Canis lupus familiaris: one gene and its partners. The protein of the gene in region 1 purifies or fractionates together with the protein of each later gene. This does not show direct contact. Links are inferred from orthologs where the notes say so. Each region holds a gene or a part of one and is shown in the gene's direction. Other genes may lie near its edges.

Region 1 (3,050 bases):
ATTAATATGTGTGTGGTTAAGAGATATAGATGCCAGGTAGTTACCTGGTTCACTCAATAGCTAAGTGCCATTCCCTGCCAATTCTAATTGCAAAGTGTATGATTCATATATGTGCCAAAGCAAAAAACTAGAAACTCCTACATATCCTGGACCTTCACTATTTATAAATCTTAGACTCTAGTGGGAGTCCAAGATTTATAAATAGTCAATGTTAAAACACTGATGCCTTTTGTTTTTTAGGTCTATGAGGGATTTTCCTGGTCTGCACTAACTCCTTCAGCACTTTTTCCATTCATAGTATTTCATCAGTTCTTTGTATTTCTGTCTTACTCCCCCCACTGAATTGCACATCCCTTGAGGGCAGAGGAACCACTTTTTATCTTTTGTATTTTCCCATGGTGCTTGTCTCTGAACTTTGCTTTCAAGTGAGTGGTCAATTTTTTTTCATTGTGTTGGCTTTTTATGGATTCAAGGGCTAGGGAAGAACTATGAAAGGTGGTTGGATTACATCCTCCTGTCTTGGGCAGAGCCATATTCAGACTATCTCCAGTAGCCTGGTAAATGCCTTCAGAGTAGGTGGTTTCCACAGCCTGTATGCATCGTAGGGCAGTGATCTTTAAAGTTTTTAGCATGTAGCCCTCCTGAAAATTTTTTGAAAAACTATCCTCTCACACATTTTTAAATTGGCATCTAATTTAAATTTAAATAGTTGCAAAGGAGGTACTTTCTGGCCATATCATTTATTGTGCACTGGTTTCAAGCACGTGTTGGTCAAGATTTTGGATTTGCAGTTTAAGTCCCTGTAACCTCTGCCAAATGTCTATCAAATAACCTAACTGGCTAAAAACCAACCTGCTTTGTTAGGCCAGCTGGCCAAATTAGACTCAACCTTCTTTTTTTCTTTTCCTTTTTTTAAGATTTTGTTTATTCACGAGAGAGAGGCAGAGAAGCAGAGATACAGGGAGAGGGAGAAGCAGGTTCCATGCAGGGAGCCTGATGTGGGACTCGATCCCGGGACTCTGGGATCACGTCCTGGGCCGAAGGCAGGCACCAAACCGCTGAGCCATCCAGGAATTCCCGCATCTCAAACTTTAATGTACCAAAGGATTACCCGAGTGCAACTCTGGGGTGGTCCTGAGACTATTTCCTAAGAAGCTCCCAAATGATACTGATGGTGCCGGTGTGCAACCATAGCTTTGAGTAACACGTCAGTTTGGTTTTGATTTTTACAGTGATTTTTTTTTTAAGATTTTATTTCTTTATTCATGAGAGACACAGAGAGGCAGAGACATAGGCAGAGGGAGAAGCAGGCTCCATGCAGGGAGCCCGACAGACTCAATCCTGGGTCCCCAGGATCACACCCTGAGCCAAAGGCCGACGCTCAACCACTGAGCCACCCAGGAGCCCCTAGACTCAACTTTCTATCAGAAAAGGTCTGACTTCATTTTTAAGTTCAGTTAAATTTGTCAGATGTGTCCTCGGGACATTATCTGTCATAGTTCTCAAAATTTTCATTGTTAGGCAGAAATAGAGTCCCAGAATACTCTAGTTGCTCGTGGTGTGTTGTGGTTTGTGGTAGCTGAGACAGGGCCAGCTCCTGCACTGAATTTTGCCGAGATGCTCTTTGGCTCTCAGGGAAAAGCCCCTTTTGTTTAATACCTTAGGGTTTCAGGCACCTGGGCATTGTACCGTGGTGAGATGTGGGGTGGCTGAGAAGTGCGTGTCTCTTCTAAAACTGGGAGGAGGGGAATGTAAAAGAGGAGGAAGGAAAGGGGCACTGGCAGACTGGAAACTTCTCAGTTCAGTTTTAGGAAACAGAACTTTGGGAAAGTTTATTTCTCTAAATGTGTCAGTGTCCAGACCTCCCTTGAAAGTTTCTCTATGTTGTCTGGAGGTGTGTGTACTAAAATCTGAAAATTGCTATTCTGGGATGTAAATTCCTTCACTCTTGTTGCCCAGCCCCTGATCTTTCTTCCTTTGTCTTTACTAATTCATTGGCTTCCCCATGCCTTTTTAGCTTTAGAACTCCATCAACATTTTCTCTTAGGTTTTGTCTGATCCAAAATCTCTCACAAAATGTGTTAGATTGCATTCATGAAATAAGGGGTCCCTTGGTGGTATCTGGGCTGCTTGGTAGTGATGCCTGCAGCTTTTCTGTCATGCTTGCCTCTCTCTCCTTCACAGCTCACTCTGGGCAGGTCACCTGTGTCGCAGCCTCTCCCCACAAGGATTCCGTGTTCCTTTCATGCAGTGAGGTGAGATACAGCCTTTCCTTCCCTCCTCACTTCTAACCACACTCGAACCCTCTGGCCACAAGTCTAGTGTGGAGGCCCGCAGCTGCTTTTTGGATTGTGAAGCTCTTTTCCTGTTCCTTCTTCTAGGACAACAGAATTTTACTCTGGGATACCCGCTGTCCCAAGCCAGCATCACAGATGGGTGAGTCTGAGAGCCGGTGGTGGGAGGGTGGTAGTAGGAACCCACCTGGAAGAGGCTTCCTGGGCCAGAGACAAAGGCAAGGTCACCAAATGCTCAGTCATTGTGGCATAAGAGACATAATCACTCACTCTCTTTCCCATTGAAGCTGTTGATTCCATTGTGTGCAGTGGGTACCAAGATGATGGGTTGGTTCGTGGGTGGCTGATATACTTTACGTTTCTGGGATGGGTAGATAAAGGGGCCAGAATTGTTGCCTTCATGTTTTATACCTGAAACCTGCCTGTGACTAGTGTCCAGAAAGGACAGGAGAGGCTGAAGGATAAATGAAGGTATGAAGATTGAGGGCAAGGACACAACTGCCTTAGCTAGCAGGGTTTGAGAAGGCAAATTAAGGTGATTCTGGGATTTGGAGTGAATTTTGTTTGAGAAGCTCCTTCCCAGAGCTGGGCTCTAAGTCTTGTTTCAGATCCCTCTTCTCTCTTTGCAGGCTGCACTGCCTCTGGCTACCTTCCTACCTCCCTGGCTTGGCATCCTCAGCAGAGTGAAGTCTTTGTTTTTGGTAAGGCGGCCTGTCACACAGCGTTTTGATTCTGGGAAGGGGGAGGATGAGAGCA
Region 2 (3,986 bases), on another chromosome or scaffold:
AGGGAGACCTCCCCATGGCCCTGGCTTGCTGCTCTGGGTGGCACTGCTGTTTGTCCAGGTGAGGAGATGTGGCTGCTCAGCCGTGTGGTGCTCTGGTTTCTGCCGGATGCCAGGTCTCCCCTGGAGGCTTTTCTGCTCTTGCTCCAGGTCTTTGTGCACACCGCTGATGGTCAACAGCAGCCTCTGTGGTCAGCGCGTGAGCCCACAGCTCTGATTGGCTGCGGCCTGCTTTGGGACAGGTGGTCAAGCCCCCTCCTGTCCCTGTCGCCTCCCCTCTCTGAGGTGGCCAGTTGGCTCAAGCTCCCATCCACCACTGGGCAGCCCAAGCCACAGCCTGCAGCACCGCTTCCGCTCTGGGATCTTGTAAGTTGCTTTTTTAGGCTGTGGTTTGGTGAAAGGAACCAACACGGTAACGATCCCCCCCCCCCCCCAGAAGCCACTGAATAATTCGTTTTGGCGCGTTTTTGCCTTCCTGTTGGCCGTCTAGTTTTGGAGCAGGCGGGGAGACGTGGAGGGCACACGAGGCAGGGCTGTGGCCTGTCCTCCTGCAGGCCTGTGTGTTTTGAGCATGTGCTGTCCCCGTGGGCCAGTCACCGGGTCTCCACCCCGCGCTGGGGCAGCAGCCTTGGTGCGTGGTGCCTGGGCAGCCCGAGCAGGAGGGGAGCGTGCCGGGGAGCTTCGAGGGGCCGGCCCTCCCTCCCCCGCACCCCGCACCCCGCACCCTGCTGCTCCCTGAAGCCTTTAACCAAACGGGAGTGGGTGGCGCCGCCGTTTAGCCCGGTGCCCGGCCCCGGGGCCGCCCTGGCGCTGAGGGGCTGGGTGCAGGGAGTCGCCGAGGGCTGGAAGCAGGGGCGGGGGTCCGGGGGCTGCCGGGGCTCCCGGGCCGTTGAAGATCCAGGCGAGGAGGGGCCTCCCTGGGCCGCGGCGCAGCGCCCCGCCTGCCCTGTGCAGTATTTATTGCTAAATTATTGTCCAGGGGGGGGCGGCACTGGGCCGGACCCCGGGTATTTATTGCTGTACATAGTGTATGTTTGTGATATATAAGGTTTTCTTTATTTTGTATATGACCAATAAACACCTTTTAAAGAGACCGTCAGGTGCCTCCTTTGCGCGCGGCGTGGGCGGGGCCGGAAGGGCGGGGCGCCTGGCGCGCATGCGCGGTGCGCGGCCTGCCGGGAGGCGGAAGCGGAAGCGCGGGCCTCCCGGGAGCGATGGCAGCCGGGGGTCCCAGCCGCTCGGAGCGCAAGGCGGCGGAGCGGGTCCGGAGGCTGCGGGAGGAGCAGCAGCGGGAGCGCCTCCGCCAGGTACGCCGCCGCCGCCCGCCCCGCGCCGCGCCCCCGGCCCGCGCCGCCCTCACCGCCCGCCCCGCGCCCGCAGGTGTCGCGCATCCTGAGGAAGGCGGTGGCCGAGCGCAGCGCCGAGGAGGGCCGGCTCCTGGCGGAGAGCGAGGACCTGGTGACCGAGCTGCAGGGCCGGAGCAGGCGGCGCGAGGGCCTGAAGCGGCGGCAGGAGGAGGCGAGTCCGCGGCGCGCCCGGGGCCGGCGGGGCGGGGCGGGGCGGGGCGGGGCTTACGACCGGCCTCGGCGTCTCGGCAGGTGTGCGACGACCCGGAGGAGCTGCGCAGGAAGGTCCGCGAGCTGGCCGGCGCCGTGCGCAACGCCAAGTACCTGGTGGTCTACACCGGCGCGGGGATCAGCACGGTGAGGCGGCCCTTTCCAGGGTCCGGCCGCCCGCGCGGGGCGGGGCGCCCCCTGCCGGGTGACGGGCCCCAGGACCCGGCAGAGCCCTCTGCGCGCCGGCCCTGACCGCAGGAAACGCACCTTCGCGCAGAGCAGCTCTGCTGTGCTGTCTCCAAGCCGTTGCTTGGTCCATTTTTAAAAGCAATTTCTACACCCAGTGTGGGGCTGGGACGCAGGACTCAGATCTAGAGCTTCACGCTCTTCCGACTGACGCCGCCAGGCACCCCACTGTTTTCTCTCGTCATTTTTTAAAGTCTTACTTATCTATTTGAGAGAACGTGCACAGGGCAGAGGGAGAGAGACTCTCGGACAGACTGCCCCCCCCCCCCCCCAGCGCAGGGCCCCACCACCCGGAGATCAGGACCTTGGGTGGCCACCAAGCGCCCCCTACCCATGTGGTTTCCCAGAGAGGCTTGAAATGATTCCACTTCAAACTTCACTGGGGAGATAAGCATTTATCAACGTATGCAGTTTTTGCGATGCCCGTTTAGACACAAGAAAGGAAGGAGGCGTAAGAGGGACTGAAACCTCAGTGCCTGCGGGCAGCTCCTCACTTAAAGTCAAGGTGGTTCATCACTAGCCCAAGGTTAGGTGGGCAGAGTTAAGCCCAGAACTTGCTCCAGGTTCCCCATTCACCGGATTTTCTACGTGTTGAAAGTCACTAGGAAGCAAGGCAGGACGAACGAGAGTACACCAGGGGAAGGAGAGAAATGCGTGGGGTTTGGGCAGGTTTTATTGGGAAGCTGTCTCGGGCCACAGAACATGGGTAGCTTTGAGAGTGTCATTGTCTACTTAGCGGGTGCATGTTGAGTGTGATGCAGTGTAGGCCCAGCACAGGGGAGCCTGAGGATTTCCAGCCTCAAGATGCCCGCAGGCGATGAGAATATGGCGTGTAAGCAGACAGCTAAGGCAAAGCTGGTTGTGCTAGGTTGCTAGAGTGGAAACGCAGACAGCCACCTCCCCATCCCACCCCCTCATGGCTTCAGCAGCGAAATCCATCTGGTTGGCTTTCTGTGCGATACAGCATTGAAGCCAGGCCTTGAAGGTTGAGTAAGGTTTTACGGGCAAGGGTGAGAGTAAGAGCCTCCAAAACAAGAATGTGTAAGGAGCACTGAGCACCCTGACTTGCAGACCCTGGAGCCCTGGTAGTGGGGTCTCCTGCCTCCAGTGACGTGTGCGTTCCTGTCATTTGTGGGGGTGCTGCACAGGGTTACGGACAGCCGTGTGCTGCTCTGTAGTTGAGCATTACTGATTGAGGTTTCTCTTCAGTGTCATTCAGAACCACGCTCTTCAGGATGGGCATTTTTCCAAGCTTCAGCTGCAGGAGGGAGACAGGGCTCCCCAGAAGGCAGGTCACTCACAGCCTGGGGAACACAGGAGTCCTTGATCCTGGCCTACTGTCTTCTCTCATGATGGTTTTGTTTTGCTGGATCGAGAACTAGAGAAGTTCAGTGGTGCTTATCTTGTGTGGAGAGATTGGCTATCTTTGTGAAGGGAAGACAGCAAACACTACCAGGATACAAGAATTAGGACAGTTGAGTGCTCTGACCTGAGGTTTCACTATTTGCTAAACCTTCCCGGAGCACTGGCCGGGCCCTGGGGACCCACAGATGAGCCTGGCCAGTCCTCTGCCTCGGTTTAGAGGACGGGTGTGGCTACATAGCCTGGGCTATTCCCAGTGCTGGAGAGGTTCCCAGAGTCGGCAGGATCCTTGAGACCTGGAGGGATGAGCTAGACCAGGTGGGAGCAGAGGTGTGGGCAGAGGGAAGGAGCCCCTCTGTCTGGGTGCAGGCAGGTTATGGTAGGAAGTGCTGAGCCTCCAGAATGGATAGAGCCTAGTGCGAGGACAAGCCTGGAACACCACGTGAAGAGGAACGTTTGCTTTTCACTCTTGCAAATTGTGCCAGTTCCTACAGTGATGCATTGTCACCGGGTTTATGTTCTTTGTGGACGTGCAGGCAGCCTCCATCCCAGATTACCGGGGCCCCAATGGAGTGTGGACGCTGCTCCAGAAAGGGAGGAGCATCAGGTAAGCGGCCTAGCGCAGCCCTCACACAGCCTTCGCACACGGTCCAGCCAAGGCAGCGTGGGCCTGACCTCACAGCTTCCCACCCCTGTGCTCCCTTCTACCCGGCAGTGCCGCTGACCTGAGTGAGGCTGAGCCGACCCTCACCCACATGAGCATCGCCCGCTTACATGAGCAAAAGCTGGTAAGAACCCGAGGTGGCTAGCTGGGTCCCCAGTACA
Region 3 (4,048 bases), on another chromosome or scaffold:
TACAAGTGTAGCTCCCATCTGTCACCATATAAGTCCACTACAGTAGCATTGGTTATATTCCCTATACTGTACCTTTTACCCCATGACTTATTCCATGATTAGAAGATTGTGTCTCTCACTCCCCTTCACTGTACCTTTTACCTCATGACTTATTATTCCATGATTAGAAGATTGTGTCTCTCACTCCCCTTCACCTGTTTTGCCCATCCCTTCCACACTCCCATTATACTAATTTTTTAAAAATATCTTTTATGGTTTTTTATTTTTTGAAGGTTTTATGAGAGAGAGAATGGGCAGAGGGAGTGGGAGAAGCAGACTTCCTGCTGAGCAGGGACCCCAATGCCAGACTCAATCCCAGGACCCTGGGATCATGACCTGAACTGAAGGCAGATGTTTAACGAACTGAGCCACCTAGGTGCCCTCTTTTATGATTTATAAACACATTCTTCAAGGGAGATGAAGTAAGCTGTCTAATATCCCCAAAGATTGTCATAAGGTGGCCTAGTGAGCAGGAATCCCAGCTTCTAGCTTTTCTTCTACTTCATTGTTAAAATGATTATTACACCCTAAGTAGGTTTGTTATTAACAGTTTAGGCAGTATGGGAAAGGCAGGGAAAGCTGACTTTAGAGTTGAGTTTATCTCCAGCTCCTGCCCTGGCCGCCTGCTGTTCCCCTGGGGCTGCAGAGGGCCAGTTGTTGACAAGCATCAAAAAACAGGAGCCCAGGCCAGGCTACCGTGGCAGCTCAATGTTTAGGGTCAGTGTGACTCATATGGTGTCTGCACATTGTTTTCATCATCTGTCCTGGTTTCTGATGCATTAACTTTAAGAACTATCATTAACTTAGGATGGAGGATCACTGGGCACATCCATTTGTGGGTGGCCCAATTCTAGCCTGAGTTCTACAAGCACCTGTGACGAAAAGAGTGCAATGTGGTTGGAGCTCAATTTAACTTTTGAGAGCTGAGCTTCGGAGACTGTCAGGTAGGCTCCGGTAACTGAATATTCTAACAGGAATCCGAGGTTTGAGGGCTGAAGCACATCCAGCCTGGTGCGGCAGACAGAGATAACAGCTGGCGCTGCAGACCCAGCTAGTCGCCAGCCCTGGGATATGCACCGGCAGGACCGACAAAAATCCGATCCCGGGACCCGTAGGTGAGGGGCTTGGGCTGCCGCCGGCCCCGCCCCTCCCGCCCCGCCCCCGGCTTCCTCGTGACCCGTGCCCCGCCCCCCTCGGCCGGGAGCACCCCCGGCTGATTGGCCCCTCCGCGGCGTATGCTCCGGCTGGCAGCCAGGCGGGCGCGTCACGTGGCCGAGCAGCGTCCAGGGCGCCGAGCCGCGGGCCGCCAGGCATGGACCGTCAGGCCGCCGGAGCCCGGGCGCTGGGGGCCGCCGAGCCGCCTCGGGGGGCGCCCCCCAGCCCGGGGGTGAGCGCGGCCGCCACCTGCGGCCCGGGGCGGGAAGTTGCGGGGCTCGCGGGCCAGGCCGGGCGGGCCGTGCCGGGCGGGGCGGGGCGGGCGGGGGCCGCGGGGCCAGGGGAGCGCCGTTTGGGCGCGCGCTCGCGCTGGAAACTGCCGGGCCGCGGGCCCGAGAGCGTGGGTGGGCGAGCGCGGCGGGCTGGCGGTGCCGCGGCGCCTCTGCGCGCTTGCTGGATGGGAGGTGATGCTGACCGCCCGGGCCGGGGGCCCTGGGCGGGGCGGGGCGGGGCGGGGGGTGGGGGGGCTGGGCCGCGGCCAGGTGAGGGACCTGTGACCACGGGTGGCTACGCACAGCGCGCCCTGGGCACCGCATGAGGTCTCCTGCGCTCTCCTTTTCTGTTTACTGAAACCAAAGGCCCAGCTTGACGCAGGGTTTCCAAAAACTTGTTTTCATTTGCGCGCCAGACAGCTTCTGGTTTTTCAAAGACCGTTTTTACCGTCCTCACCTGTCTGTCCTTGTTTACGGTCAGTAAGTTCTGGATGGTGAGCTCCGCGAGGGGAGGAACCCTCTGTTGAGTGCTGTAAACCCGGCGCCTGGCGTAGTACCGAGAGACACAGCTCCTAAATCTGAGGGAGGAATGGAATGCTGGTTTAAGCATCAAAGAGGGTACTAAACCGGAGTAAGATATGAAAAATGTAGTGATAGGTATAAAATTACTTTGGAATGCAGATGGGATGAGACTTCAGGACGTACAGGAAGGGATGTACGCTTCTCTCCAAGGGGACAGGGTGGTGGTGCCTGCAGAGGCCTGGAGGTGAGGAGGTACAGGGCAGATGGCTGGGAGCTGGGGTCATAGAGCCTCAGAGCCAGGGGAGAGAACGATGCTCCACAGGTTGATAGGTGGTGATGGGGAAGTGTGAATGCCATGGCCAATGTTATGCTCCTCTGTGGAGGGCTGTTGAAAATTTTTGAGCAGAGTGATGATTAATCCTGTTAAGGTTGGGCAGGGTGGGTGAATGGGAGGACAAGTGGCTATGGCAGTGGTGCACGTGAGGGAGCCTATCAGCTGACCTGCAGTAGTCCGGAGGGTTGTCATTCAACCATTCCCAAGGTGGAATTTATTCATTAAATCTAAGGATGACTAGGTCATGAGCCAACTGAGGCCGGTGCCAAGTGCAGTTTAGGTGTGAGGGCAAAGAAAGGGGGTTTCAGTTCAACTAATGTTACATTCCTGTTATGTCCGTGGTGTTTTCAGAAGTGTTCTCTCCATTGTAAGCTCCTTGCAAGGTCAGAATAGTCCTCTCCAGTGTCCAGAGAAGGAAGCCCAGGCATGGTGGTTGAAGCAAGCTATCCAAGGTCACACTCTGAATGAATGGCAGAGCCTGAATTGAAACCAGGTCTTCTTAGGCAGGCTGTGAACATTTCTTGTTCCTTTTACAAAATGGTCTTTAAGTGATGAGAGCAGAGAAGCATATGGTTGGCTGTAGAAGAAGATTTCCCTTGAGCATTACTTAGGAAGTACAGCTACATGTTGCCCCTATGTATCAGGAGACAGAATTTGGTAGGAAGTTAGAGGGAATGAGGTTGAAATGATTAAAATTTACAGGCTCAGAGGAGAAGAGATTCACAGAGCTGGAATCCCAACTTCTCAGGAAGAGGTGCTGCCTGCAGCTACTGCTGGGGTCTCAGAGCTTGGAGGAGGGGTCCTGAGGGCCTAGGATGGAGACCCCTGAAGAGAGGGCCCAGTGATGAAGTTGGCTCTGCCAATGTTGGCAAACTAAACTGGATCGAGCAGCTGCTATAGGAAGGTACTGCTGATGCTGCCAGGGATGAAGTGTCGCTGGGGTGGTATCTGCAGGAATAGGAAGGAGAGAGGCCCTTCTACCTCCAGCCTTGATGCATCTAATACGGCAAAACAGAAATAGGGATTGCAGAGTCCCAGCCCCACCCTCAGAAAGGTGAGGATGGAAGAGTGGGGTTTGAGGCCATGAAACGGTAGCTTAATACTGGGGGTACCCCACACATCCAAGTCCTGGGTAACTGTTTCTTCTTCCTGCAGGCCAGCTTTGCCCCTGCTGACTGCTCTGGGCAGGAGAGAGAGACTGAGAAGACCATGGATCGGCTAGGCAAGTAGATGGTGGAGAAGGAGGTGAATGTGGGGAGAGACCAAGGAAGCGATGAGAGGGATCATCCCTATGTCTTGTTGACCTCTTTCCAGCCAGTTTTCTTTGCTGCTGAGTTGCCTTTTCTTCCTTCCTGCCTTCCTTCCTTCCTTCCTTCCTTCCTTCCTTCCTTCCTTCCTTCCTTATTTTGTTTATTCGTTGATGAGAGACACTCAGAGAGACGTAGGCAGAGAGAGAAGCAGGCTCCGTGCAGGGAGCCCGATGTGGGACTCAATCCCGGGACTCTGGGATCATGCTCTGAGCCAAAGGCAGGCGCTTAACCACTGAGCCACCCAGGCGTCCCTGAGTTGTGTTTTCTGCTTAGTGTTTCCACAGTGCCCTCATTTGGAAGTCCTGTTGGAGCTTTCTTTAGTGAAGTCCTGCCCCTGTGTCCAAATCCATCCCTTCTACTGAGAAAAGACAGCTTAGGGCAGTGGCAGGAGTATATAGGCTTTGAAGCCTGGCCAT
Region 4 (3,500 bases), on another chromosome or scaffold:
CTTCACAGCCAGGGGCAGGGCCCTGCTGGGCAGTGCCACCTGCCAGGAGGGAGCTAGAAGTCACTGGGAGAACCAATGTGGGACCTGGAGGTCTATATGCCCCCTGGGGTTATGTGGAATCCAGGGGTTGTACTTCTCTCCTTCCCTAATATGGGACCATTTTCATCTCTATTCTAGGGCGGTTCTGGTACGGTTGGAAGGATGTAGCCACCCGGTTGTCATGAAAGGCCTGTGTGCTGAGTGCGGCCAGGACCTAACCCAGTAAGTACTGGCCCCTCGGGCTGGAGGGCGGGGCCTCTGGGCATTTGAGATGGGGTGACCTACGGGTTCCAGGAGCCTCCACCTCTGATGGCACCCTCCTTATCTGGCGACTTAGGTCCATCTCCCAGGGAGGTGTTCTTTCTGGTTTTGTTTCCCTAAGTTCCGAAGGCACTGGAGAGGTCTGATACTCACCCCCGTGTGGTCGGTTTGCTCTCCTTTCAGCCAGGCAAACGGCACATCTGTGATCAGCCCACGCCTCACTGCTCCCGGGTCCCCTTCAGGTCCCCCCACCTCGTTCCTGGGCTCCTTTTCCACCTGTGGCAGGCGGTCACCCTCGGTAGACTTGCTGAGCAGCATGGACTGTCCTGTTTTGGGGGCTTTCATGTTTTGGGGCCTCTGTTTCAGTGCGGCCATCACAGTTCATTTCCAGGAGATGTCTGTGAGAACTTTCCCATCTGTTCTCAGACGTCAGCCGTTTCAGCAGCTGTGGGCAGAATGAAACTGCACTGTGCTGGCCGTGAACTTCCCCTGCGTGTCAATTAAAATCGTGCCCTCGACGTCCTGTGTGCGTTCTGGGTATAGTTCTTCAGTGTGTTCATCTCCGTGTGCCTTCTCCTGCCCGCAGGCTGCAGAGTAAGAACGGGCAGCAGCAGGTCCCTCTGTCCACAGCCACTGTGTCCATGGTGCACAGCGTCCCGGAGCTGATGGTGAGCTCTGAGGTAAGTCCTGCCTCTGGCAGAAGCTAAGTGTCAGAACATTTCCTGGGAATAGCAAGGAGCATCCGTGGGCCTCTCACTACACAGAGGCTGACTGAGGAAGGTACCAGGTCTGTCGCTGTGATGGTTTCTGGGATAGCCACTGCTGAGACAGGTGGTCTGTGTGCACTGGGTGGCCCACCTGCAGTTTCTATCTTTGCCAAAGGGTTCTGCCCACTAGGGAGGTGCCGGCCCCAAGGGGTGTTGTGGCCGTGTGGTCTCCCTGGCGCAGAACGGGAGGCTGATGGACGGGAAGGCATTGTGCATGCTGCCGTGTGAAGAAGAGTGTTAGGGTGGGGGGCAGGCAGTAGCAGGTGGTGAGAAGTACTTGCAGCAGGCAGTGCTGGCGGAGTGGACGTGGTGTAGAAGGAAAAGACATGCGCTGTGCGCATCCTCATGGAAAGGCTTGGCAGGGCAGTGCTTCTCTGGGGTGGGGCAGATGTATGTACTTGGAACCCTGTTTACTTCTCCCCCGTGTCCAGGGTCTCGTGGGCAGTGCTGGTCAGAGGCATCCTGACACCTTGTATTCAGGGGCCGGGTGAGGGAGGGGTGTGAGGACGGAGCTTCTCCTGTGATGGGGAGGCAGGGCAAGCACCTGTTATTGTAAGTGGGTGAGACAGTTTCAGCGTTAGTTTTACCAGATTTGTGCTCTTGAATGATACATACCGGCTCTATTTTTTGTGGGAAAGACATGTCAGATACAGGATTCTGGCTTTCCTGAATTTTAAGCCAAATGTAAGTATTTAAGAGTGTATGGGGGATCCCTGGGTGGCTGATCGGTTTAACGCCTGCCTTTGGCCCAGGGTGCAATCCTGGAGTCCCGGGATCGAGTCCCGCATCGGGCTTCCTGCATGGAGCCTGCTTCTCCTTCCTCCTGTGTCTCTGCCTCTCTCTCTCTTTCTCTATGTCTATCATAAATCTTTTTAAAAATTTTTAAAAATTAAAAAACCGTGTGAGTGAGTGAGACAGACAGAACTGAGAAGTCAGATAAAAAGAGAAGAAAGTGTCCCCCATTGTTGCTGCCATGACAGATTATCGCTGGCCTGTGTGCACAGCCCTCCCAGGGCTGGACGTTGCAGTCCTATGGCTGGCTGATCAGGACCAGGGGTTTGTCTATAAAAATAGGAACTGAGCCAAGGAGGCATAAGCAATGCGCAGCCCAAGGCCCCTTCCCGGAGGAGGCTCTGTGCTGGCCCCGCGCTGGCCCCAGACGCCACTGCGTGCCCGCCATCTCCAGGAACCCCCTGGGTCTGTCCCACGGGGGGTGGTGCCTCCAAGCATGGCGAGAGGTGTGCCACACCCCTGCCACCTGCCTGTTGCTCCTCAGTTGGCTGCCCTCCTCCCTCCATTTTACAGCTCGTGGCATCCCATCAAACCTTTATGGACACAGCTTTCTTTTCATCTCCTTTTTCATGAGTTAACATGTTACGTTATAGAATTAGATCACAAATCATGTCTTCAGTAGTTGGGACCAAACAGAAGCAGCTTGGGTGGCCATGGAGCAGGCCGTGTGGCTCCCTGTGCTGTGTGAGCGCGGTGGGGCTGCTGGCGTGGTGCGGAGGGCAGTGGCCAACACCTCAACTGCGTTTGTTTGACGAACAAAATTGGATTTGGTTTTGGGTCCAGATATACTCACGTCAGAATCTTCCTTTTTATTTTAACTTCAGCAAGCTGAGCAGCTGGGAAGGGAAGACCAGCAGCGTCTACATCGAAACAGAAAGCTGGTGCTCATGGTGGACTTGGACCAGACGCTGATCCACACGACCGAGCAGCACTGCCAGCAGATGTCGAACAAAGTGAGCGCTTCCTGGGCTGGGCTGGTGAGGAGGGGCCGGAGCCCAAGGCCCATGTGTCTGGGGTGGTTTCCCCAAGCTGGGTCTCACTGGGAGGCATCAAAGCATGCTCTCGCCTCCTGGCTCCCTTTAGGGTTCAGGACCTGGAAGCCTTGAGGCCCAGCGGCAGGCAGTGGTGTTGGCAGCCAAGGAGACACAGTCTGGGTGGGGACAAGGAGCTGGCATTAGGAACCTCTAGGAATCTCTGAAGCATTGAGGGTAGGGGTACAGGTGGGTCCTGGATCTGGACTCAAGAGAGGGCAAATGAAGGCTGGGGTTCTCCAGGGAAATGAAGTTTTCAGAGAAAAGTAAAGGGTCGAGAATGGACCCTTATCTCAGTTAAAACTGTTGCCACGTCCCACCTCTTTGTATGACATGGACCCTGAGAAGCCAGATTTCTTCAGGCACCTTCAGGAGGCATGTAATAGTGCCCATTGACACATGGCTCTCTGAAGGCTGGACTGGCCGATCCTGTCATGGACTAATGAGGCCTTGCCAACACGGGAGCCCTCGGTTTGTAGAATTCTTAGCTGTTGGGCCATCGATGCGTAGACTGTGTCAGAGGTCAGGTTGTCAGCATCTGCGGTTAGCGGTTCTTAACTATGGCAGAGCCTGTAGGAAGGCCTCTGAGGAGAGTGCCAAGGCCAGGCCC
Region 5 (4,096 bases), on another chromosome or scaffold:
ATTAACATATAGTGTATTATTAGTTTCAGAGGTAGAGGTCAGTGATTCATCAGTTGCATATAACACCCAGTGCTTTTTATGACACATGCCCTCCTTAATGCCCATTACCCAGTTACCCCATCCTCCCATCCATCTCCCCTCCTGCAACCTTCAGTTTGTTTCCTATGATTAAGGGTCTCTTATGGCTTGTCTCCCTGTCTGATTTCATATTATTTTATTTTACCCTCCCTTCACCCATGTCTTAAGATTTTTCTTACATTCTTATAATATTAAAAACATCTACTTAAAATAGGCTAAATATTGAGTTACTTACCTTGCAAAAACTTAGGCAGAAGCACAAATGTAACAAAATAACATGAACAAGCTTCATATTGGAAACTTTCAGGGTCTGTCTCTCTTCTCCACCCTGGATATTCTTTTGAAATTTAATTTTTAACCTTTGAAAAAATATTTAGAAAGAGCAAGTCTCCTAAAGAGCTTTGCACTTTTGAACTCAGAGAATTTGGCTAAAATCCAGAGTTTTACCGTAACTGAAACCAAAAAAGGCCTTCCCAGTAAATAGCTGAGTGAGGTGACCAATAGGGAGCATGTTTCCTCCAGAGGAAAACAATTTCCACAGTTTGTTAATAGCCCTTCAATTTTGCTTTTTTAGAGAAGACAGAAACTACATGGAACGAAAATTGCTTGTGTTTTTGGCAAAATAAAATTAGAGTGTTTTCCCTTAAGTTTGAGGATGAGGAGGTAAGTAAAAGTATATCATGTTGAAGGCTATGAAGAATACAGTAAATATCCTGAACAAAACATTTCCTTTACCATGCTCCATTATGCTGTGATCAAATTATATTGTCTGAGCATAGAAAACTTTTTTAAAAAACGATTTATTTATTTGAGAGAGAGGGAGACAAAGTATGAGCAGCGGGGAGGAGACGAGAGAGAAGGAGAAGCAGATGAGCAGGGCGCCCAATGTGGGGCTTGATTCCAGTACCCTGAGACCATAGGTTCCCCAAGGTGAGGGCAGATGCTTAACTGACTGGGCTACCCAGGTACCCCAGCATAGAAAACTTTAAAAAATAAGTTTTATTGCCCCAGCACCGAGTGTAGTGCAGGATTCATTTTTATTTGTGAAATAAATGTTAGGGTTTTCCTGAAGCAGACATGAGACAGAGTTGGGGCTACAAGTTAGAAATTAACTCCAGTGAAAGGAAGTGAGGTTAAGCAGGAGTGAGCAGAGAGAAAAGTGAGACTGCAATGCAGGTTCAACAAAGCCCTGGTTAACTCATGGGGAGCTCTGGAGTGAGTGTGGCCTGTCACAGTGTCTCTGGGTCAGGCAGGAGTGGTTAGACTGTTAAATCCTGCCTTGCTCAGTCACCTGGTGTGTATTGTCCAGGAAAGGCATCCCCTTAGGTGAGGCCATTCTCTGCAGCTGAGGCAGACTCGGAAGGATCTGACATTTAGTTGTCATCAGAAGAAATGTCTCCTCATCACACTTTTCACAGGTAGGTAGCAAACCCTTCCATGAAGTGGAATTTGGGAAACTCATCTTCCCATTTTTAGAGTGCACCATTTGCACCTCTTAGGTCTACCTTTCATATATGCTCCAAGAGTGGCTCCTTCAAAACTACGGTAGGCTTTTCTTCCTGAGGGAAAATTTAGAAGAGGGAGGTGGTAAGAAAAAATGATGGCCCTGGCCCTTGTAGTTGCTCTTGAGGCTGCAGGTGATGCTCATCCATCCTCTGCCTTTTTTCTATCCATTCTAGATTCCTTTTACCCTGAGCTTCCACATCTGCCAGCCTCAGTTGCTTACCTAATGTCATGACTCACAAACTTCCTGGAGCCTTCCTTCTTTGTGAAGGCAGTTCAAGATAAATAATTTGTCTTTTAGTTTAGAGAAGATATCCTGGCAGTTTTCTAAGCACTGGCTTCCTAAAAATTTTATTGATGTGCCAAGCCTTGTCTCCTGGAGTATATGTATCTTTTTAAGGCATTTAGCAGGCTAGCCACCTCTTGCTTACCTGCTCTCATCAAGGTAAAACCATCAATGTAATGGAACAGTGTGATGCTTTACAGGAAATCCAGATGATCCAAATCTCTTCAGACTTTATTATGACAGAAGATGGGAGATAAGATCTATGGAAAAACTGTAATGTATATTGTTGCTTATCCCATGTGAACAAGAACTGTTTCTGATCTTCTTTCCTGTTTAAAATACTTACAATTGTTTAGGTTTCACTGACAAAATTCTTATTGATACACTTTATAATATTGCTAAAACTAGCATCAAGGTTCTTATCTCTAAAAGAAATTCAACTGAAACAATTTTAAAGCAAAGGGGTGATTAGAATGAATAGAAAACAACAGCAAAAATATCCAAACTATAAATTTTTTACAACAATAAAAGCATACAACTCAGGATAGCATTAAAAGAATAAAATGAATCAAGTGATAAAAAGGAAATAATAAAGACATAAGCAATAGTAAAGAAACCAGAAAGTAAAAAAGTAGCAAATTTGATATATAAACCAATGAATGATTTTGAGAAATTAAAAAAGAGAGAGGGTTAAATATTTTAGAGGAAAGCTGTTGAAGTGGCAATTTTTAGGGGGGCTGCCAACATCCATTTTCCTTCATAATAGGTTCCCAATTCTCTTTGTGGAATTATTGCTCTTCTATTATGGGTTGTTTGGGTGGGAGAATAATTCCCAGCACCTGCTTTTCAAAACAAGTTAAGAAATCCATATCCAGCCTCTTTCCATTCCCTTTTAGAGCAGAGACTAATCAGAGTCTTTTTTCTTCATGTCTGAATCTTGAATTAAGTGATAAGAGAACAGAAGTACCAATTGGGAATTATATATTGAAACAGCAGCAGCAGCAGTGCACCAGTCAGACAATTTAGCTGTTAGTTATAAGACAAGTTTCCTGTGATTCCTTTTCACCTTCCTGACCATCCTCAGTTCTTAAGCCTAACTTCTTAGCCTTCTGTCAATAGTCTGAACATCCTATTATCTGCCAAATGAATTTTCTTTTGCTAAAGTTATTCAGAGTTGGTTTGGTAGCTTGTCACTTAGAACCCTAAGTAATAAAAGTATGTGCAATTTATCAAATAATCTGAAGATCCAGATGAAAATTTCAAGGAAAATAAAATGATCAGAATAATTTATGCAAGGAGAGGTAGAAAATTCAAATAAATTAATAGCTAAGAAAAAATAGAAAGTTAAAGATTTTAACCCCTAACGACACTTTTACTAACTCTTTCTTTTTAAAAAGATTTTAAGTAATATCTACACCCAACGTGGGGTTTGAATTTACAACCCCAAGATCAAGAGTCACATACTCTACTGACTAAGCCAGACAAGAGCCCCTATTTTTTTTTTAAAGATTTTATTTTACTAATCCTTTTAAGAAAGATCATTCTTCTGTTATTTAAACTTTTCTAGAACACAGAAAAAGATGAAAAGCACTCCAATTTATTTTTTTTAAGATTTGTTTATTTATTTATTCATGAGAGACACAGAGCGAGGGGTGGGGGGCGTGCAGAGACACAGGCATAGGGAGAAGCAGGCTCCCTACAGGGAGCCCAACATGGGACTGGATCCCGGGCCCCCAGGGTCACACCCTGGGCTGAAGGTCGCGCTAAACCGCTGAGCCACCTGGGCTGCCCCAAGCACTCCAATTTATTAGCAATACTCAAAAAATGGTAAGATGGGCCTTTGAAATAAATCTTTAATAATTATAATTAATCATTCATTTCTATGTAATGACCCTAAATAAAATATTAGCAAAGTATACATTACAAATCACAGCATATTAAAAACAATATAATGACCAAGTGGGGAGCATTTTAGAAATTTACAAGGATGTTCAACATTAGGATATCTATTTATACAATTCAGTATATTAAATTTTTTAATTAATTAAAATAGATTAAATAAGATAATATGTATAATTACATCATAAAATATGGAAAAGGTGTTTAATATGAGTTTAACATAAATTCTTAATTTTTAAAAAGTGAGCAATCTGGAAAAAGAACAAATATCATTAATATCATAAAGGATAGAAACCAACAGTAAATACCATGTACAATGGTGAAACACTA
Region 6 (3,500 bases), on another chromosome or scaffold:
AGAAGAAAAGAAATATTTGGTACTGTCTTACTAAACTTTCTGGTTTTTTGCTTTTTATAGGTGTTGGATCCTAGAACACGAATGATATTATTCAAGATGTTAACTAGAGGAATCATATCAGAAATAAATGGCTGCATTAGCACAGGAAAAGAAGTGAGCTTTTCTTTGGATGCCTGAATGTTTTCATGTTAGTTTTCTTACTTCAGCTACTAAATGAAACTAAGGCACTTAATAAATACATGGTGCCTTTAAAAGAAAAAGGAAAAAAATACACAAGTCAGAATAGTTTAGTATTTCTAAAAACAGCTTTATTAATATTTATGCGTAGGCAGGAGGTTGTACACAGAACTATACGTTTTCACCACTGTTACTATCCTGGTTCACTGAGTGCAGGTAATGCTCACAGTAAGCATAGATGGTCAGATTACTGCAGGCTTGAGTGCTTATCACATAGTTACTAATGGGCACAGGGGATTAATCTAGGTTCTCTGAGTAAATGAATCTCTTTACCATTTTTTCTTTGTATGTGGATACAGATGGCGTTATTTTTATTTTTTTAATAATAAATTTATTTTTTATTGGTGTTCAATTTGCCAACACATGGAATAACACCCAGTGCTCATCCCGTCAAGTGCCCCCCTCAGTGCCTGTCACCCAGTCACCCCCCCCCATGGCATTTTTAAATTAGCAACTCTTTCTATGGGAAGCAGTTCTCAGTAAAACTCAGTTTATAAATGATGAAATAAGAATGTCTTGAAATATTTTTCACACACTTGAGAGAGGAAACTGTTCGAAACCATTTCTTGTCTGTAAAGTGGATCTTACTATATGTGTAAATTAGAGCTCTACTTACTATACCTTTTGGTATGACGTTTTGTAATTGGCATATTCGGATGATGATGGTATTGCTTAATGCATGTCGCTTCAGTTCACTTGAATTTTTTAAACTTTTGAGGATAGAATCAAATAGAGTGAAAATTAAAATACTGTTTGTAGTTATTTAACACAAAGTTCATTTCTTTTTGACACAAAATAGGCTAATGTGTACCATGCTAGCACAGCAAATGGAGAGAGCAGAGCAATCAAAATTTACAAAACTTCTATTTTGGTGTTCAAAGATCGGGATAAGTATGTAAGTGGGGAATTCAGGTGAGCTCAGATTCTTTTTCCAGTTGGCCTAATTTCTGTTTCCTAAAATAAAAACTGGAATAATGGAATGTTTGGAATAACAAATATTTTTCTTGTTCCAGATTTCGTCATGGCTATTGTAAAGGAAACCCCAGGAAAATGGTGAAAACTTGGGCAGAAAAAGAAATGAGGAACTTAATCAGGTAACTCTCTGGGGCATGTGTCTGTGCTGTGCTCAAGATACTGGCCCTTGCTCCTTCCTGCTGGCTCCCAGTAGATTCTGTCCAAAGGTGGAGACTTGTAGTGATGTTCATGTCTGTTAGATCTGCTGAGGTAAGCAGAAGCAACAAATAAAAACCTGATCTTCTCTCTTTTGAGAACCCATTACAGAAAAATTCACATTCACATCCAGCAAGGCTGGATCATTTGAAGCACCTTGGAAGGTGTGTGAAAGCATTTAAAATTTATACTGAGGATGATAGGAGGCTATTGCAAGATTTTAAACAGGGAAATGACAATCAGGTTTTGAGGCTCACGTGTCATTTTTTATAGGCATTAGAGTTTTAGATAGTTTTGTTAGGTCCTATACTATTATCATAGTTTCCTTTTCTTCAGTCCAATTTTGGACATATTTATATATTCTTTGTGCTGACACTTCGATATTAGGTGAGGGCAACTAACCTAGTTGAGATCAAGTTTTCTCAAAAATTTGAAGGTATTCTTTTCCTCCCTTTTTCAAATACCTTTTAATTTTTTATATGCTGTGCATTGGTGACATATGTTGGATATTTTAGTATTAAGTACTTGTTTTGAAAGTCTTCTGAAATCTTCCTATGTTCACTTAGCTATCAGGTATGAATCCAACTGGTTTTTATTTTGTAAGTAAACTCTACACCCTGTGTGGGACTCGAACTCACAACCCCAAGGTCAAGAGTCATGTGCTCTACCAACTGAGCCAGTCAGGAGTCCTGAGACCCAACTGTTTGATTACTCATTGTTGAGTCTAATCAACTCAGAGGACATATCTGCTGCATTTCATCAGTTCTGAGATGCACATTGCAAGTTGGACATCTCTGGAATTGGGCTGAGCACTAGAGGCAATAATTTTTTTTTAAGGTTTCATTTATTCAGAGAGAGAGCGCACACAAGCTCCCTGCTAAGCAGGGAGACCAACTTGGGGCTGGATCCCACAAGTCCTGACATCATGACCTGAGCTGAAGGCAGATGCTTAACTGACTGAGCCACCCAAGTGCCCCACATGAGAGGCTGTGAGATGTAGTTAAATTGCCAGTGTTGTGTCATTCTTGGTTGTGCATCATGGTACCACTTAAAATCACTGGGCCTTAGAGTTGATGAAATACAGTAATGCAGTTGAGATATGTTGGGCCTTAAAGTTGATGAAATACAGTAATACAGTTGAGATGTGTTGGTGCTGTTACCTTACAGTGATACTGATCTTGTGTTCTGTAGCCATTTAATTTGCTGGAGATTCTGTGTCACCTTTTCATTTGTCCTTTTATCTGATTGAATACTACAGACTAAACACAGCACAGATCCCATGCCCAGAGCCTATCCTGCTGAGAAGTCATGTTCTTGTCATGGGCTTCATTGGTAAAGACGACATGTGAGTACATGGAATGCCTAATAATTACATGCTCAGAAGTGTGTCTTTAAGTGCTTTGGATTATCCAGTGTTATGACCATTTCCCATTTAAATAGCTCCTTTCAGCTTGGAAGGTTTTTTGTGAATCTTTTCCACTATCATGCACAGAGCTGCTCATTTATTCTACTTTAGGTCCCAAAATGTTTCAAAATAACAAAGTTCACCCTAGTTTTGAGGGATGTTTTATACAGTAAGCTGGGAGAACACCTGTTTCTTGACAATTTTTTGCATTGGTACATCTGTAGTGACCCAGATTTTTTAGTGATGATTTGTCAAAAAGTCCATGTAGCAATGTATTATAAACCAAGAAAACTTGTTCTGGGCATTTTCTCTTAGTTTATTTTATTTGTATTGAAGGCCAGCGCCACTGTTGAAAAACGTCCAGTTATCAGAATCCAAGGCTCGGGAGTTGTATCTGCAGGTCATCCAGTACATGAGAAGAATGTATCAGGATGCCAGACTTGTCCATGCAGATCTCAGTGAATTTAACATGCTGTGAGTGTGTTTGGTCCCCGAGGAACTTCCGGTATGGCGTTTCGTGTCCTTTAAAAAAATGAAATCTCAACCCAAGAAGTCATTTTTAAATTCTAAAGTTTTAAAGTTGGCTTCCACATGGTCATAGGATAGCTATGTGTTCTCTACCTGTAGTGGCCTTCGTCACAGAATTGACCAGCTGATCATTAATAGAGTGATAGTACTTGGGAAATTG
Region 7 (4,228 bases), on another chromosome or scaffold:
TCAGTGGTCTGTTCATGTCCTCTGGATCCAGGGACCCTTTAACCACACTCCCACTGCAGTCTTCCAGATTCCAGGGTCAGGTCCTTTAACTGTCCCCCAACTGTTCTCTAGCCCCCAAATTACTGCTTTAGGCTTCTTAGCTATTACCTGTGTCAATTCATAGGTCTAAAGACCCCTAAACACAGCCCTGATACCATGCCCCCTCAGCCCTTCATCCCTGGAGTCCAACCTTGCTAGTGACACCCCCCATCATCCCTCGAAGACAACCTAGCTGTACACCTGCCCTAGTTTGTCAGCAATGGGATTCCTAGCATAATCTTTTCCCCAGTGGAAATGGAATATAATACCATGCTATGCTGTTTTTATTTTCTCCCAATATGCATGATATATCTGTTTGCTGCAGCCCTTCAGGTGCAGACACTATGCAGTATATGCTTTGTGTCAATGTCACCCTGGCTCCCCATGCACATCCAAGTCCCTCGGTGACCCTGCTCCCATCTTTGGCTTGCCTGATGACTGTAGACCAGCTCTGGCCCATGCAAATCTTAAAAAAATAAAAAAAGAAGATTTTATTTATTCATGAGAGAGAGAGAGAGAGAGAGAGAGAGGAAGGGGCAGAGACATAGGCAGAGGGAAAAGCAGGTTCCCTGCGGGGATCGTGATGCGGGACTCGATCCCAGGATCCCAGGATCATGACCTAAGCCAAAGGCAGATGCTCAACCAGTCAGCCACCCAGGCGTCCCTCACCATGTTATATTTAGTATATTAGACCTCCAGGTCAAGCAGGTGGCTGGAGATTTTGGCCACGAGTTAAATAAAGCACCCAGGGTTAGAGGAATAAATCTGAAATTCCTGAGCATTTAGGTAGTATTCACAAGTCATAGGACTGGATGGGATTGGTTGATTGACTCATTTGTTCATGGAAATATGTTTAGAGCTAGGCATTGCGGTAACGAAAAATACACAAAGGAAAATCTATACCCTCAGAACTTGCATCCTAATGGGGAGGAATAACAACAGAAACACGGTATATTAGGGATCACCATTAAGGAGGAAGATAAAGCAGGTAAGGGCGGGAAGGCTGCAGTTTAAATAAGGATGGCCAGGGAAGTCCTCAGTGGGAAAATGTTACTTGAGCTGAAGTCCTGAAGGATGTTCGGGCAGGAGTCGTGCAGGTACCTGGACGACTAGCATTGCAAAGGTGCTAAGGCAGGAGCTCGTCCAGCAAGTTCACAGAAAAGGACAGGCCAGGGAAGAGCGGTGGGACCTGGAGACCCAGAGGTAATGGGGAGGGGCGTGCGGGCAGCTCCGGAACCGATTGAAGCTAGGGAGGTGACCTAACATCCCGGGAAATGTTGTTTGACGTTAGCCCCGCCCCAAACTCCCGCGGGCGTCTAGGCTCCCAGGTCGGCGTTTTGGCCGGAACTCAAGAGCCGACGCCGGGCCGGAAGTAGTTTTTACCCGACCCCATTTTATCCGCGGCCGCACTTCCGGTAGCGGCGGCGGGAAGCGGTGTAGTAGCGGGCGTCTAGGCCTCTGCTGAGGGCAATCCGGCGGGAATCGGAGCCATCAGAACCGCCACCATGGTGAGGACGGGCAGGCCGGCTGCGCGGGAACTTCCGAGTCTGTCGTGGAGTGGGCACCGCGGCCGGTCGGGAGGAGGTCGTGGGTTGGGGGCTCATGGCGGCGAAGGCCCGGGCCGCAGCCGCCGCGTCTGGGCGGGGGAGACTCGGACCGTGGCCTTTGGACGGGTTGGGGGAAGGGAGGGCTGGGGCCGAGGGACGGAGGCCGGGGCCGCTAGGTGGTGGCGAGGATGGGCCCGCGGCTGTCCACGCCGCTGTAGCCACGGTGCTTGGGATCCTGCAGGCACGAAGTAAACTTTTGCGCAATAAATGCGCGTTTGGGGTTTCGGAGCAGACATAAGAGCCTCAGGAGGACTCGTGAAACGGGGTGAGGGTCTGAGGGGGACTTGCGGAAAGCGGGGAGGACTTCTGGCCGAAACTAGAGAGCGTGCTTGGGTCTAGCAGATGGGAGGAGGGAATGGGAGGGAAACCGAAGATGGAGGAAGGGTTCAACTCCTTTGTGGGGCAGGTCTGTGTGAGCGTGTCTGGCTTCTCAGGCACTGGGGCTACTCCACTCCTTTCGCTTTCTAGTTGCGGACGCAGGTAATATGATCCAGAGTGGTAATTAAGCGCTGCGTAAAAGTAACGGGGCGGGGGGGGGGGCGGGATAAGAACGTTTTCCTGGAGTAGATGGTTCCTGAGCAGAGTCCTAACAGGTTGTTACAGGAGTCTCCCCAGCCTCGATGGAAGGGAGTATTGTAGATTGGGAGGGCTCCAAGAGCAGGGCGTGAAGGGCCGCACTGTTGAGGGTTCCTGGAGGGGTCGAGGGGGAAGGGATGGAAGAAGAGATGGGAGGAATTGGCAGGAACCTGGCTACTAAAGGCTTTCCATGCTGCCTGATCCCGTTGGTGATGAGGGATGCCGTGGAAGGATGTAGCCAGCGAAATGACGTGGACGCAGTTGTGTTTAGAAAGAGCGCTCTGTTCTGTGGCTGTTGCGTGTTGGGTGAACCGAAAGCCGGGGATTGTTTGTAGGATTGGTTTGGAAGAGTAGGCACTGGATTCAGTCTGTCTAGGTTCCAGACCAGCTTCCTGGCTGTGAGACGGGGCAAGCTACTTAACCTCTCCTGACCTCAGTGGCTGCATCTGTAAAATAGGAATAATAATTAGCCTGGTTTTTAGAATTAAATGAGATATTTAGAGACTGCTGGGTGGCTCAGTAGTTAAACATCTGCCTTGGGCCCAAGGTGTGATCCTGGAGACCCGGGATTTAGTCCCACATCAGGCTCCTTGCATGGAGCCTGCTTCTCCCTCTGCCTGTGTCTCTGCCTTTCTGTGTCTCTCATGAATAAATAAATAAAATGTTTAAAAAAATAAAAGATATTTAGTGCTTGTCACAGTGCCTGGTACGCAGTGAACGACCAGGAAGACTTACCTATTATAAGGTGGACAGACCAGTAAATGTTGCCATAAGGCTTCAGATCTGTGTGGCTAGAATCTAGAGGGCAGATTTAAATGGGGACACTGGACTCAAGTTAACCAGCTTGTAGCTGGTTAACAGTCATTTGAGGGAGAGTGAGCCACATAACTTGTGTCTCTAGGCAAGGCTCTGATCCACACATTGGTGGGTTGAAAAACCTGTTCTTGTCCAAGCTTACAGAGATGAACAGCAAGCACAGTAACTGGCAAGAAGACGACACTTGGAAGGCTGATACACAAATCAAATGCCAGGTTATTTCTAGAGAGGTATAACTGCCAAAGGCACCTGGCAATTTGCGTTGTGAGTTCTATTTAGTCTGTCTTTTACCAAAGCTACCTTGGAAGCCAGGCTACAAACCAGAAAAGGTTGTTGGATTGATAAAGAAGTTTAAAGACCATTATGTGTTCAAACTGATGAGCACCCTGGCCACCAGAAAGTTTCCCTCCCAAAGACAGTTTTGGAGGCACATTAACATTTTTCGTTTAGGGATTCCATTTGCCTTGCCTCCAAGCTCATCAGCTCCTTTCTGATAATAGATTCTTGCTGATTGGATCCTTAGTGCCAATCATTCCAGCTGTTTTACTCGGTCCTTTAACTGGGCTGTGGGTGTTCCACAGCACTGGAGTCACACACCTGTAACCTGCATAGTGGCAGATGGCTAATCTGGTATGGGGGGATTGGATTAGTTTGGAGATACCTTACTCCTCACCCCTGAAACTGACACAGCAGACACACAGGCAATTGTGATATGAAAAAGACTGATTTTAAGGGAGAGTAAGAGAGTTGTGGGCAGAGGTCTGGGCTGAACACTGGGTGTGGGAGAATTCCCCGGGAAAGGAAGACAGAGCTGAGAAGTTGTTGAGAGAGATAGCCATGTGGAAAAGTAGGCCAGAGCTGGTTTTTAGGAAGGACCAGGGATATATAGGTTCAAAAGAGCTTGACTCTGATCCTGCTGATTTCTCCTTGCAGACTGTGGGCAAGAGCAGCAAGATGCTGCAGCACATCGACTATAGGATGAGGTGCATCCTACAAGACGGCCGGATCTTCATTGGCACCTTCAAGGCTTTTGACAAGCATATGAATTTGATTCTCTGTGACTGTGATGAGTTCAGGAAAATCAAGTGAGAAGTGGGCTGCATGGGGGTGGGATTTAAATTGTGAGGGAAATGGACTGGGTGGGTGGGCCA

The links.
Region 2: the proteins of WDR77 (region 1) and SIRT7 purify together in Homo sapiens (affinity purification with mass spectrometry; 3 studies listed by BioGRID, with this or other methods). This does not show direct contact. The link is inferred for Canis lupus familiaris from reciprocal best matches to the Homo sapiens genes WDR77 and SIRT7.
Region 3: the proteins of WDR77 (region 1) and COPRS purify together in Homo sapiens (affinity purification with mass spectrometry; 3 studies listed by BioGRID and IntAct, with this or other methods). This does not show direct contact. The link is inferred for Canis lupus familiaris from reciprocal best matches to the Homo sapiens genes WDR77 and COPRS.
Region 4: the proteins of WDR77 (region 1) and CTDP1 fractionate together in Homo sapiens (co-fractionation; 3 studies listed by BioGRID and IntAct, with this or other methods). This does not show direct contact. The link is inferred for Canis lupus familiaris from reciprocal best matches to the Homo sapiens genes WDR77 and CTDP1.
Region 5: the proteins of WDR77 (region 1) and GAR1 purify together in Homo sapiens (affinity purification with mass spectrometry; 3 studies listed by BioGRID and IntAct, with this or other methods). This does not show direct contact. The link is inferred for Canis lupus familiaris from reciprocal best matches to the Homo sapiens genes WDR77 and GAR1.
Region 6: the proteins of WDR77 (region 1) and RIOK1 purify together in Homo sapiens (affinity purification with mass spectrometry; 5 studies listed by BioGRID and IntAct, with this or other methods). This does not show direct contact. The link is inferred for Canis lupus familiaris from reciprocal best matches to the Homo sapiens genes WDR77 and RIOK1.
Region 7: the proteins of WDR77 (region 1) and SNRPB purify together in Homo sapiens (affinity purification with mass spectrometry; 4 studies listed by BioGRID and IntAct, with this or other methods). This does not show direct contact. The link is inferred for Canis lupus familiaris from reciprocal best matches to the Homo sapiens genes WDR77 and SNRPB.

What each region holds. Positions count from the first base shown.
Region 1 is NC_049227.1:41,099,300-41,102,349, forward strand, and holds part of WDR77 (methylosome protein 50), read left to right. Parts: intron 1-2,184; coding exon 2,185-2,255; intron 2,256-2,381; coding exon 2,382-2,436; intron 2,437-2,923; coding exon 2,924-2,995; intron 2,996-3,050. UniProt on the Homo sapiens protein: Non-catalytic component of the methylosome complex, composed of PRMT5, WDR77 and CLNS1A, which modifies specific arginines to dimethylarginines in several spliceosomal Sm proteins and histones.
Region 2 is NC_049230.1:1,199,738-1,203,723, forward strand, and holds the start of SIRT7 (NAD-dependent protein deacetylase sirtuin-7), read left to right. Parts: upstream 1-1,186; 5' UTR 1,187-1,211; coding exon 1,212-1,304; intron 1,305-1,377; coding exon 1,378-1,515; intron 1,516-1,595; coding exon 1,596-1,700; intron 1,701-3,697; coding exon 3,698-3,768; intron 3,769-3,876; coding exon 3,877-3,949; intron 3,950-3,986. UniProt on the Homo sapiens protein: NAD-dependent protein-lysine deacylase that can act both as a deacetylase or deacylase (desuccinylase, depropionylase, deglutarylase and dedecanoylase), depending on the context. Specifically mediates deacetylation of histone H3 at 'Lys-18' (H3K18Ac).
Region 3 is NC_049230.1:41,069,588-41,073,635, forward strand, and holds the start of COPRS (coordinator of PRMT5 and differentiation stimulator), read left to right. Parts: upstream 1-1,248; 5' UTR 1,249-1,351; coding exon 1,352-1,426; intron 1,427-3,477; coding exon 3,478-3,544; intron 3,545-4,048. UniProt on the Homo sapiens protein: Histone-binding protein required for histone H4 methyltransferase activity of PRMT5.
Region 4 is NC_049222.1:901,734-905,233, reverse strand, and holds part of CTDP1 (RNA polymerase II subunit A C-terminal domain phosphatase), read left to right. Parts: intron 1-177; coding exon 178-261; intron 262-886; coding exon 887-980; intron 981-2,683; coding exon 2,684-2,812; intron 2,813-3,500. UniProt on the Homo sapiens protein: Processively dephosphorylates 'Ser-2' and 'Ser-5' of the heptad repeats YSPTSPS in the C-terminal domain of the largest RNA polymerase II subunit. This promotes the activity of RNA polymerase II.
Region 5 is NC_049253.1:9,901,444-9,905,539, reverse strand, and holds the start of GAR1 (H/ACA ribonucleoprotein complex subunit 1), read left to right. Parts: upstream 1-1,296; 5' UTR 1,297-1,496; intron 1,497-4,096. Other genes in the region: CFI (complement factor I), read right to left, coding at 314-370. UniProt on the Homo sapiens protein: Required for ribosome biogenesis and telomere maintenance. Part of the H/ACA small nucleolar ribonucleoprotein (H/ACA snoRNP) complex, which catalyzes pseudouridylation of rRNA.
Region 6 is NC_049256.1:8,659,621-8,663,120, forward strand, and holds part of RIOK1 (serine/threonine-protein kinase RIO1), read left to right. Parts: intron 1-60; coding exon 61-153; intron 154-1,036; coding exon 1,037-1,149; intron 1,150-1,250; coding exon 1,251-1,331; intron 1,332-2,665; coding exon 2,666-2,752; intron 2,753-3,148; coding exon 3,149-3,286; intron 3,287-3,500. UniProt on the Homo sapiens protein: Involved in the final steps of cytoplasmic maturation of the 40S ribosomal subunit. Involved in processing of 18S-E pre-rRNA to the mature 18S rRNA. Required for the recycling of NOB1 and PNO1 from the late 40S precursor.
Region 7 is NC_049245.1:19,125,571-19,129,798, forward strand, and holds the start of SNRPB (small nuclear ribonucleoprotein-associated proteins B and B'), read left to right. Parts: upstream 1-1,428; 5' UTR 1,429-1,583; coding exon 1,584-1,586; intron 1,587-4,010; coding exon 4,011-4,162; intron 4,163-4,228. UniProt on the Homo sapiens protein: Plays a role in pre-mRNA splicing as a core component of the spliceosomal U1, U2, U4 and U5 small nuclear ribonucleoproteins (snRNPs), the building blocks of the spliceosome.